Drosophila melanogaster: one gene and its partner. The protein of the gene in region 2 purifies or fractionates together with the protein of the main gene of each other region. This does not show direct contact. Each region holds a gene or a part of one and is shown on either strand. Other genes may lie near its edges. The genes, in order: FLASH and Sym.

Region 1 (6,171 bases), on a different chromosome or scaffold from region 2:
GCAAGGCGGCGGTGGGCAGCACCTCGTCCGGGGTGTCGCGCTCTGCCTGCCCCACCACAAAGTCCACCAGTTGCTCCAGAGTGCGGGCATAGCTGCGGTGCTGCAGGTCGGCAATGTGATCGTTTATCTGATTCCAGGCCTTGCGATATTCCTCATAGAAGGGCTGCTGCACTACCTCTTTGCCAAGAAGACTACTGGATTCTGCGGCAGGACGCTTCCGTTTGCTGGCCGCCTTTTTCCCTGCTCTCGTAGCGCCATTTTTGTAGACAAAACAGCCCTGCAGACAACAAAAATAAGTAGTTAAACATCTATGTCCAGTTTGGAAGCCGAAGCCACTCACCTTGGACACTGAAATGGTGGGATCCATCGCTGGCTTTGCACTGCGGCCCGATGTCGTGGAGTCTTTAAGTCGCCGGGTTGCGTTTATTTATTTATTTGTTTAGGTCAGCTCTGTGCCAATTAAAGTTTCTTCACCGGTAGGAACGCGAAATGAAATCAGCTGGCTGTTGTGTTTGGCGCCAAACGGGCGGCAGTGTTGGCTAACGACTTTAGGGGGTATCTTTGAAAACAAGTGTGAAAAGTATAAATTAATTGAATATTTCATCTAACATGAACTAATAATAAGAAATCATACCCTTCGTGCTCGTACGCCACCATTTTGGTGGATACGAATTCGTCGTAGTTTCTGTGAACAGCACCAAGTTTTTTGAACGTTCGCCATCGCAACGATCCGACCATTTTGGGGCCACTTGGAATGAGAAAAGATAGAGGAGCAGGAAATCGAGGAACAGTATGATGGCTGCCAGGAAGTAGTCCTTCGTGCGCATCTCGGCGAACCTTCCACCGTTTATAATCTGCGCGTGATACATGACAAACTGTAAGGAGGAAACTAAATGACAGAAACTAATTCAAAAATGTATGACTCAGTACTAACCATCAAGATGCTGATCACTATAAAGCAACGGGCGATTATAAACGAGTATGCGACATTAGCCACGATGTAGAGCATCACGAAGTATATGGCGCCGATAATGGAAACCACTGCAAGCACAAATAGCACCACAACATCCAAAGTAAGATCCAGCTTAAGGGGATAACAATAAAAATGTGAAGCTTCAGATTTGAATCAAATGGCTTTCATGTGGACTCTTCTTACCGGAAGAAAGGAACCACAGACAATAAAAAGCGCCAATGCTACGGTCCATATAAGGAAGCTGAAGAGAAACTGATACTTGTAGTGGCGGGCAACCAGCGGTGCAATCCCCAGTACAATGCATTCAAACTGGAAAGAATAAGTTCATACTGCCACCCAGGTTATGTTTCACATTGTAGACTTACAATTAGAAAGGCAAACAACCAGTTTACCATTTTATTAAAGCGCAGTACCTCGAAAAATATGAAAAGTACGAGGAGTATCAGGCCTATTCCAAAAAAAAGGCAGCTCAACCAATGGTACGAAGTAAAAAATTCCCTTAGAAAATTTCTGAAAATTAAGAAAAAGTGCAGTGAGGATGAAGTAATGTGAAAATACATACGTACACAAAGCGGAAAGTGGCCCATTGCAACAGCGCAAGGATCAGGAATATCGCGGTTAGTAGGTAAGTGATCAGAGCGAACTTTCTTCTTTCCTTCTTGTAGTAAGAACTTTTTTCCGGAATGTCTGCCATTGTGTAGTGTTTCTCGAGTATTATTGTTTGTATTGTGATGTTTTTTTTTAACGAATTTAAGTGTACAGTAATACGAAATGGGAACTAGATTGATTTTAAAATTATATTCTTGGGAAAACACGTAAGTGCATAATAAAATTTTTAAAATATTCGTTTTGGCGCCAAATGTTGCTGCTGGATATCGATATCCACTATCAGGGTTGCCACATTTTCAGCCGGTCAGCTGTTGCTTCCGATAATCAACTGCATCTTCTGTTATCGATTGGCGGCAACACGGGATTTTCTAACAATATTAAATAGAATAATAATAATAATTACATTTATACAAATACACGGCAGGGAAACAAATTGCACGCCAGTTTGGAGGAAATGCTCAGGACAGTGACCATTGAGCTTTAGTGGAACTTTTATTCCCTGAAACAAAAATCAAGAACATTGAAATTCTTTTGTGTTTCGAATTTTGATCAATTTATGACTGAACAGGTAATCAATAAAGTAGCTCCATTAAAAAACAGTAACTCTAACAATTCATTTTATGTATCCTTGTTTAAAGGGCAGCCAAGAAGAAACGTAAGCGATTGGTATGGAAACGCCTGCATATGCCACGAAATCTGGCGGAGAACTGGTGCTGCCCGAAGCTCTGGAGGACTTGATGGATTTGGAAGACCAGGACGCGGGCGGGATGAAGTCCAACGTTAAGGATAAATCCATGGATTTGGATATCTATCACGATTTGTACGATATAGAGCCTGCAGGTTCAAAGAAGCCTGACCAAATGGACAGATCCCTTGAACTGGACATCTACGATGATTTGGACGACTTTCAGAAGGCCGAAGATCGTGTAAGTTGTGCAGGAATACGTCCTTTCAGCAGAGTTACCCATTTACCATCTCACAGAATACCAAGGAGCTACAGGCATGGGAAGCCAAATACGAAAAGGCACTGGCCGAAATTGAAGCGCTAAAGGTTGAGAATAAGGCACTTGGCAAGAAGATAAAAACCATGGAGGTTAATCTACAGAATCTACTGGACACAGCTAAGGCGGAGGTAAAGAGAAAAGAGACACTGATTGCCGAGCTGCGAAACGAGTAAGTTAGCATATTGACTCCCTGCTTCTTAACAAACAACACATTGTTCAACAGAAAGGACGATGTATGCTTCCGACGAAAACGAGCACGGGCGTTTGACGTACCAGGTGCAAGGGAACCCGAAAGTAAGCGTCCGAAAGAATTTCAATCTACACCAATCGATGTCAGGAAATATCCGGAAACGAATAGAAATCCGTTCAAAACGGCTGCAAAGGACGCCGCTAAGGATGATGCTAGGAAGATGATGACCAAAAAAGATGACACAACGAAAGTCGTATCAAAAGATGTTGAAAGAGGCGTAAAATCCAAGGAGGATAATAAGATGGCGACCAATAAAGATGATGACAAGAAGTCATCCTCAAAGGATGATGCTTGGAAATCTAGGACAAGAGAAGACGCCAAGAAATCGGTCCAAAGAAGCAAGTCTCCCAGGCCGGAACACTCAAAGACCACCGATCGGAAATCTACTGCACAGGCTCGTCGTCCAGATCCACATCGCAGCCGGAGTCCAAAACATAATTCCCGGCGAGATCATCACAGGAATCAAGAAAGCAGTTCCCGGCACGCCAAACGGCGAAGCCAATCCGCATCGCCCAGGTCAGTAAAGCAGAGGGACATAAGTTACATTTGTTGATAGCACCATCTGATTTTTGTAGCAAGATACAATTGCCAAGAGAAAAAGCAAATGCCATCATCACACTTACTGACGATGAAACAAATGACCAACGCAGCAAGAGCCCAGTCCCCGTGACCGTCAAACTCGTAACTGAATCTCAACCGGCTGAAAAAGTCGTTTCCAACCGAAGGGATGCTGCTTTAGAAACCAATGCAAATTCCTCAAAGGAATCAAAAGTAGAGACGAAGGATATTACTCAACCGACAAATGGTTTAATTGCTGAACCTTGTATTCCAAAACATGAGATTATTCCGGGGTTAAGCTTAATTAACCCAGAATCGGCGGATTTTTCTAAAAATGAGATCAAGTTAGATCCTGTAATCTTACAGGATCGTACAGAAGACTCTGGCCACCAACTTTTAAATAAGGAGCCTATTCCCAAAGTTGTAGTACTTGAAAAATGTAAAAACATTTTAGCTGAAGATTGCCCAGCTGATGAGCAACCCCTGGACAAATTCAAGGATGGAAAAGAATCTGAAGAGACACAGGCAAAGTTAGACAAAAAAGAGCCTTTTGCAGTTGAAACTGCTGTTGAAACTCCTAGCAAAGAAGAAAGCAACGACAACATAGTATTATCAAAGAATACGACGTCTCAAGCTGATGTGTGTTCTCAGCATGATGAGAATGATGAAGCAGAGATCCGAGAACCGATGGATCAAGTTAACTCCGTGGTCGAGTCCGACTTGGGAGTAAGGATTATTGAGGATATTCGGTTGCCCAAGATGGCGAATATCGACCATTTTGCTGTAAAGGTCGACAACCATGGTGAAGCGCCAGCAGCTGTCACAGATTCCGCTTTAAATCAAGAGAACCTAGCCACACAGGACCAAAAGATTTGCGCAGAGATGAAAGATCCAACTATTTTTACCACCTCGGACGAAACTCCAATAAAGTCTGCTACTATATTATACGCCAAGCCCGATTCAACAAAACTGGATCACAGCGATGAACATGACGAGGTTATCCTGGAAACTGCCATTGACATGCTGAAGAAGGAGCAGGATGCAGCGAGCACCGCAGAATCCACATATCCGAAACTGCGGATCGCAGAAGATGCCATTGAGATGGCACTAGAGCAATTGCACCAGCAGTCGCCGGACGAAACTGTGGTGACCTCAACGTCGAATAGAGCGCCGCAGACGCCAAAAAGCCTCATCACAATACTCACCCAGACTCCAAAACAGGCTGATCCACTAAGATCCCAAACGAAATCGAAGACTGTGTCGCCGATGGCGACGCCTAAGAAGACGGCCACGGAGAAGACCCCAGTGAAGAAGAGAAAGGTCAACATGGATAGTTCGCCGCAGGTGCCAGCCCATGATGTTACCATCGACGAAACTTTGGGTGCCTGCAGTCTGCAGGACGAGAGCTCAACTGTGACCAAACGCTGCTCCCTGGGCCACACAGACTACCAGTACGAACAGATAAAGGACGAGGTCATTTTAAGAGTGAAACGACGGGGTCGCCGACGAAAGCCAACACCTATGGAAATACCTACGACTGCTGCGGACAAACCAATTTGAAATAAAATTGTGTAATCGATTTGAAGTGTCCACTTCGAATTTATTTATATATATTACATTGCTGCACCCAATGATTGGGTGAATAGGTGTTAATTCACGCGATCAGGACTTTCGATCATCTTGAACCATGAGTAGGCAACGATCCAAAAGTAAATGGCTACACCTGTGGGTTTTGAATTATTATTAATAATAAGGTACTTAAAATAAGCAAACTATTCTTAATTCTGGATAGTGTGAAAATATATCAAATATTTTGCAAGCTTTACCAAATCCGCCGATGATAAGGAATAAGGTCAAAATCACAGGGCCAATTGCGACGCAAACATAAATGAAAAACATAAGATCATAAACAATGCGAATTGCGCCTGTTATTAGATAGCCAATGACCAGTTTTTTGGATTTCTGGAAAAGACGAGAGTCTTAATTAATAGATTGCTTCTAACTAGAAATGAATACTTACCACCCAAACAGAGCCAATAACTGAGACACAAAACACTAGGTGGGCAAAGTGGATGACAAGTGTGATGATCCAAACGTAGTAGGTGGAAGTGTAGCTGACCTCAAACGTTCCCATATCATGATCAATCCACCAGTCCTCATAATAGGCTAGATCTGTGCGACACTTTATATTCAAATCGATTGAGATCATATTAAAACACATACACTTAGTTTCCAAAACAACTGCCGCCGTCACAATCATATCTATAAGGGCGATAATCAAGGCTCCCCATCTTAGCTCCCAGCAACAGCACTTCCTAATGGTACACTTCATTCTAATTTAACTTGGTGTCTCGGGATCATTTTCGTATGGGTAATGTTGTCGTCTGAGTGATCTATATGTCCGCTGAGCCTCCAAGCTTCTTGTACCACGAGAAGACAACGATCCACAAGCAGACTGCAATAACTGTGGGTCGCGATAAGAAGTGCGTTAATTTGAAATACTTTAATACATACATTTAATTAGGTATTATATGCATTCAATCGAAATGAAAGTCAGGGCCATCTTGTGTATTTTTTTTGTAAATATATATATGAAACAACTTACTTAGGCCAATAATGATGAAAATCAGTCCCGGGATATCGTGGTCGCCCAATTTAATGCACACGAAAATGAAAAAAATGATATCAATAATTACGCGAATTATTGCGGTTATCAAATAGGGAGCTACGAGATTTTTATTTCGCTAAAAAAAGGGTTTTAAATATACAAGGAAATT
Region 2 (6,414 bases):
CTAAGGAAATCTTCAATGCCACTGCCTTTCAGAAGATGAAGCCCAACTGCATTCTTATCAACACGGCGCGTGGTGGCGTTGTAGACCAGAAGGCCCTGTACGAGGCACTGAAAACCAAACGAATTCTAGCAGCTGGTCTGGATGTAACGACGCCGGAGCCATTGCCAATCGACGATCCTCTTCTGAAACTGGATAATGTGGTTATTCTCCCCCACATTGGCAGCGCTGACATCGAAACGCGCAAGGAAATGTCCCGGATTACAGCCAGAAATATTCTTGCTGCCTTAGCTGGCGATAAAATGGTAGCCGAAGTAGAGCTGTAAGCCGTGTAATCTCAGCGTACAATGAATTTTTTCCACATCTTTTTAAAAACATCTGTTTGTAATTATGTACAATGTTCTAATTAAATATTTCGTACTTTCAAAGGTATTTTAAAGGTACTGAAATTATTGAAACACTTGTATTACGCCGATGACAGTGCTCGCAATGAACTGATCCGTAAATGGTCGTGGCCACTCAGAATCGAAATTTTTGTGTTATTTGCGTGGGGTATACTCCCAATCTTTTGATCATTAACAAACAAAATTATATTCCTTTATAATGTATGTGGGTGCGGTCAAGACCTTGGTTTTATGTATTATCGCCTAGAACAGTGAGTTTATAAAATTATAGACCTTATCTTATTAAGTAATTTAAAAATGTGTATGAGCAAACAAAACAATTAAACTGCAACTAGTCCTCGCCAGGCGGCAGGGGCTGGTTAAGATCACTGCCTATGGGGGGAGGAACTGGTAGTGGTACTAGAGACGTCAGTACGGGCACTGTGGAAATGACACTAATTTCTGATGGATCCGGTGCCTCTTTTTTAATATGCTCGGCACTGATGTAACCGCCGCTTTCGTCCTGAAAAGAAGATACTCGTATGTAGTAGCTGAACGTCTTCGATATTGGTTCGGTATTTGAGTTACTATTATTTCATTTAAGACTAAATCAAAAAATGCATAGTTACCGTCACGAACACATCAACTGATTTCCCGGAGATGATGTCCAGAACCTGCTGGGTTATACCACTACCATTCATTGGTTCATCCTGCATGCTCTCCGCGTATTCCGACAATGCTGGCCTTAAATCGGGGCACTGCTGCAGTGCGTCCACCAGCTGGGCGGGAGGAAGGTGCAGCAGGATCGGCATTGACTGCGGTTTCAGGCGCTGCACGGTCTTTAAAAAGCCCTCCCAGATTACTTTTTGCCGCCAGACCTGCTTGATTATCAGACGCTGCAACAAGTTCATTACAAAGTTTGCCAGACGCGGGTACAGAGTTAGACTCTGAATTGTTGTGCGCATCATCAGAGTAGGCAGCGGAGTAACCTCTACAAGCTGTTGCAGCACAGCCATAAGTACCTCCTGTGTGTACAGATCTCTTTCAGCCAAACATAGGGATGTAGCCTTAACGATGGCTTTAATATCGCAGACACTCGTATCGATGGTGTGCAAAGCCACGAGAATATCAGTGGGGGTCATGGCCATCGTCTGATGCGCGAATTCGGCACCGATACCAAGCAATCGATTGAAAACCTCCTTGACCACAGCGGGATTAAGTTTAATCAGCTTCGGCAGAACGGAAATTAGCTCGGATCGGGTTAAGCCACTTAGCACGGGTATCATCACGCGCACATCCTTGACCTTGTTCTGGTAGAGATCCCGAACCCGCCGAACCAATTCTTCATGGGGGGATGGCACTCGCTCTGTCAGTATGTAAATTATACGGATCACTAAGGTCTCCATACCCTTAGGACAATCCTCGATTAGTTGCAGCAACGTCGGGCTTTCTACACCCATCTTTTTTATGGGAATATCTAGACTGCGCAAGATCGTGCGTTTCAGTTCGGCAGATGTAGAAACAAACACTTGACAAATTTGCTGTAAGTAAACTATCAGGGGAAGAGAATATTAAGAAATTGATTTAATAGTTTTTTTCTTCTTTAATACGGGACAGCAACAACTTACCTTCCGGTTTATAGGGCAGCAGGGTAAAGGCCAAACCAAAGCACACCTTGGTAGTGTCTTCCCGCCAATCAGGCTCCTCGGTTGGTCGACCAAAGTCCTGCGAGAAAACAGCTGCCGGCGGAGATTCCTGTTCGATAAATTTAAGCCACTCCAGAGCGAATTCGTCTATTCGAGCCGGTAGTATTTTGTGTACATGGTACAGACTGACCAGGTGGGCCTGTGCCAGATCCCGCAGATCCAGTCGCTCATGCACAGAAAAGTTGAGCAACACTCTAACGAAACGATTCTTTCGCGGCGGCCTAAGCACTGCAAGGTCCTTGATTAGCTCCAGGCCGTGCTGGGAGAACTCGTCGTCCAGGCTTAATTGAACTAGATGTCCAATTGAGACTTCCGGAAGAATGGGTGCTTCTAGATATACTCGACGAATCAAAATAATCTTATCCTTGTGATCGCAACGCTCTCCAATGCCGAAGATAAGCTTATTCAGCAACTCGTTGTAGGCGTGATCGGGTCTGTTCTCTGTCTTAACATAAGTGTGCCTTGTAAATCCTTGCAGCAGAGAGTACTCCTCAAAGAGCCAGGAAAATGCCAAATCGATACGCTGTTTTATATCCTCCAGGATGAACTCCATGATGCCGTAACGTACGTTATCGGGAAAGGTGGCAGCAATCACGGTGACCAGCTTACGGCGCTTTGATGACACTCCTCCCTTAATGCATTGCCGCTCCGAGTTGAGGATGCGACGCACTGCATCAGTTAGGAACTTCTCTTTTAAGTTGCGTGGCAGAGGCTTGGTGATCTCCTGCAGCTTCAGCGTCTTGGCGCGCTCCTTCATCTTTTCAATAACAGTCTGCTCACCCTTGGCGCGCTCCATGGTCTCGCGCAGCTTCTTGGTTGCTTCCTCCTTACGCTGAAACTCTTCCTCACTCAGTTTTTGAACAGCATCCTCGTCCACTTCCATTGCAGTTAGTGTTGATTCAATCGCTTGCACTTTCTTAACCCGCATTGGCGGCTCTCGACTGAAGGTTGCGGCACCTGGGCCTAGGCGCTTTTCAGATAGTTGTTCGCCAAAAAATCTGGAGATATTGGTTACCTGCTGCTGAATAGACATTTCGCGAATGGGTGTATATTCCTGAAGGAACTTTTGTGGCACCTCAGTGGGCAGACTGGGCAGGAACTCCAGCACCAGGGTCACAACAGTTTCAGGATTACGGAAATGCTCTGCCAGAAACTTTTCGTTAACTCGAGTAGACTTCTGTTTCTGTCGTTCCAATTCCTCAGTGTCTAGCTCCATTTCTCGCTGCTGCTGATCCTGCTGCTCACAGGCCAAGCGCGCACGCTTTGCAAGACTTTGCGCAGCATTTTCGAGGATGCGTTTTTGTCTACGAGCCATTTCCTGTTTGTCCATTTTGGGAATAAGCTTCTGGATCTCATTTGTGGAGGACCCCAGATCAACTAACATTCCTCGGATAGTGCTTGCAAACTCAAAGGCACCGCGGTTCTTCAGCAATGTCTGCAACTGCATCTTAAGGCTCTTACGCACGGAGCTTACTTGCGAGTCAGTGAGGGTGGGCGGCAGGTTGGCATTCAGCTGCTTAAAGGCTTCCACCACGGCGCCCATGAAAATGGGTCGCATTTTGGCAATTGTACACAAGCTGCTTGTGCAGGCAATCAAGTTCACTGAGGAAATATGCGTTGTTCCGTGGAACTGAAGCAAGATATCTAAAATATTGTTGCCCTCCTCTTGCAACTTTTCACGGCGGAATAGTGTGCAGTGATCGGGGACATCTGCCAGCGAGAAGTCTCCATCTCGTTTCAGACTGTCCTCGTCAGCAAAGCTCTGCAGAACCACGACGCCCTCCAAGAACTTAATGGCATTTGTACGTATGCCGTCGTTTTCATTGTCGATCATGTCCAGTATTTGCGCCTTGATTAAGCTGAGGATGTTCCACGCCTGCTCCGCACTGTCGCCGGGCTCCATGAGGCTGCACAAGTACTGCAATCCATTCTTGTAGATGCTACCGCAGGCTTGGATCACTCTTTTGATTACCTGAGCCGAGTTATCCCTAAGCAGCATAGACACGACGTTAATGACATGGGGCAGTAACTCCACCTTCACTTTACTGGGATGGAAAATATAAATCGTTTCAGCAAGAAGTTAGATCCTTTGATGGAAATCCTTACCAAACTTGCTCTACGAAGGCGACTACCTGCTTGCGAACCTCCATGTTTGAGTCGTGGGCCAAAGACAGCACGGACTCCAGGAATTCTTCGGCCAGCTCCGCGCACGATCCAAGCACAGTCTCCTGCACCTTAGCCAGCAGTTCGCACTTTGTCGAAGGCGATGCGATGACCAGCTCATTGCACCAATCGACCACCTGAATGGGAAAATATATGGTACAATACAGCAGTCCGGACTGTCTTGTCTGATTAAGATTTGTGTTCTACCTTAGCTCTTGCCGTAGCTGTCTTCTCGTCTGTGAACAGATTGGCCGTCTCCGAGACAAACTGGCTGCGTCCAATTATGCTATCCATGTTTGGTTAATTGATGCAGATTTTGCCTAAATCTGCGATACTTCGGATATTTTTAAGAGCTGCCGGCACGGATGGCAAGGTGTTATCGGTACCATTGAGAAACTATCGAAAACGGTTCTATGATGTTGGTAATTCTGCATATTTCCGGACCATCTAGCTATTTTTTGCCAGCTCTTAATGTGTTCAAAAGAAAAAGAATATTTTACTAAAAACTTGGCTTATAATCAAATGAACCGCCTGCAAACTAATTTTCCTTGCTCGTTACCGTATAAAAAATTAATAAATCACATAAATTAAGCCATTTTTGGCATATCTCAGCTTAACGCGTTATTATCGATGAGCATGCCGCAGTTGCGCTGGCCGAGCGATATGCGGGGGTGACTATCGATAAGCCAGAGGCATCGATTTGCTCACATTTCTTGGGTGTTTTAGCGTGAAAAAAACGCCTAAATAAACGAATCGGCAGCGTGTCAGGCCAGAAAGTGCAACAAACGGATCGCAGTTCGCGACGCAGTCGAGGATTGGAACAGAAGACGCCGTCGAAGGTGCCGAAAAACGTCCCAGCAACCGCCAGCCGTCGCAGCGGAGTGTTTACTGGGCGAGGGGTGCAGTGGATGAGCTGTGTGGGCGCGTGCGTGTGTATGTGTGCGCCAGTGAGTGGGGCAGAGGCAGCGGCAGAGGAGCAGCGGCGGATGTAGCTCGTTGCCCGGACCCCGTAGTGGATACCACGAAAAGCTAGCGCAAACGTAGGCAGTCCAACAAAGAAAATAAACACTGGAAACCGAAGACGACGAGGCCTTCTGGAACTGGAACAGCACTGCTCAACAGCCGCAGCCGCGTCGGTGACCGCACCCTAATGTCAAATAGCCAAGCGAATGCCGGCATCAGCGGTAGCACGGTAGCGGATGAACCCATCCAGCACCACCCTTCCTTGGCGGCCGGCCCCGTAAGTGCATCCTGCCCAGCAGCGACCCCGCCGTCGCAGTCGACGCAGCAGCCCCCGCCGCACATAGTTAGTGCCTCAACAGCTGATGCGGGCAGCAGCGCTGCGGTCGGCGTCGGCGTCGTAGCTGGCAGCGAGGGCGTCAATCTGGACTCGTCGCCACGCGAGTCCGGGGACGATTCGGAGGATGAGAGCGAGATTTTGGAGGAGTCGCCATGTGGACGCTGGCTGAAGCGACGCGAGGAGGTGGATCAGCGTGACGTACCCGGTATTGACTGCGTCCATCTGGCCATGGACACCGAGGAGGGCGTAGAGGTCGTGTGGAATGAGGTGCAATATGCCAGCCTACAGGAGCTGAAGTCGCAGGAGGAGAAGATGCGGCAGGTGTTCGACAATCTGCTGCAGCTGGACCACCAAAACATTGTCAAGTTCCACCGCTACTGGACGGACACGCAGCAGGCCGAGCGACCCAGGGTGGTCTTTATCACCGAGTACATGTCGAGCGGATCGCTGAAACAGTTCCTCAAGCGCACCAAGCGCAACGCCAAGCGGCTACCGCTGGAGTCGTGGCGCCGGTGGTGCACTCAGATTTTGTCCGCACTCAGCTATTTGCATTCCTGCTCGCCGCCCATCATCCACGGCAATTTAACCTGTGATAGCATCTTCATCCAGCACAACGGCCTGGTCAAGATCGGCTCGGTGGTCCCGGACGCGGTCCACTACAGCGTCCGGCGCGGCCGAGAGCGGGAGCGTGAACGCGAACGAGGCGCCCACTACTTCCAGGCGCCCGAGTACGGCGCCGCCGACCAGTTGACCGCCGCCCTCGACATCTACGCCTTCGGGATGTGTGCCCTGGAGATGGCCGCCCTGGAAATCCAGCCCAGTAACAGCGAGTCAACTGCCATCAACGAGGAGACCATCCAGCGCA

The links.
Region 1: the proteins of Sym (region 2) and FLASH purify together in Drosophila melanogaster (affinity purification with western blotting; one study listed by BioGRID). This does not show direct contact.

Annotation. Positions count from the first base shown.
Region 1 is NT_033778.4:13,204,842-13,211,012, forward strand, and holds FLASH (FLICE-associated huge protein), read left to right. Parts: upstream 1-1,903; 5' UTR 1,904-2,150; intron 2,151-2,220; 5' UTR 2,221-2,250; coding exon 2,251-2,508; intron 2,509-2,564; coding exon 2,565-2,755; intron 2,756-2,809; coding exon 2,810-3,352; intron 3,353-3,411; coding exon 3,412-4,954; 3' UTR 4,955-5,043; coding exon of another isoform or gene 5,044-5,117; 3' UTR 5,118-5,220; coding exon of another isoform or gene 5,221-5,356; 3' UTR 5,357-5,414; coding exon of another isoform or gene 5,415-5,566; 3' UTR 5,567-5,617; downstream 5,618-6,171. Other genes in the region: Orc3 (origin recognition complex subunit 3), read right to left, coding at 1-277, 341-367; CG34315 (uncharacterized protein), read right to left, coding at 549-559, 635-875, 935-1,084, 1,157-1,282, 1,339-1,483, 1,540-1,667; CG34312 (uncharacterized protein), read right to left, coding at 5,044-5,117, 5,221-5,356, 5,415-5,566, 5,618-5,726; CG30058 (uncharacterized protein), read right to left, coding at 5,788-5,858, 6,000-6,138.
Region 2 is NT_033777.3:5,737,586-5,743,999, forward strand, and holds Sym (symplekin), read right to left. Parts: upstream 4,892-6,414; 5' UTR 4,544-4,891; coding exon 4,457-4,543; intron 4,387-4,456; coding exon 4,193-4,386; intron 4,132-4,192; coding exon 2,009-4,131; intron 1,933-2,008; coding exon 1,010-1,932; intron 904-1,009; coding exon 733-903; 3' UTR 593-732; downstream 1-592. Other genes in the region: CG1236 (uncharacterized protein), read left to right, coding at 1-323; Madm (MLF1-adaptor molecule), read left to right, coding at 5,400-6,414. UniProt on the Drosophila melanogaster protein: Component of a protein complex required for cotranscriptional processing of 3'-ends of polyadenylated and histone pre-mRNA. Involved in germline stem cell transit amplification, differentiation and mitosis-to-meiosis transition.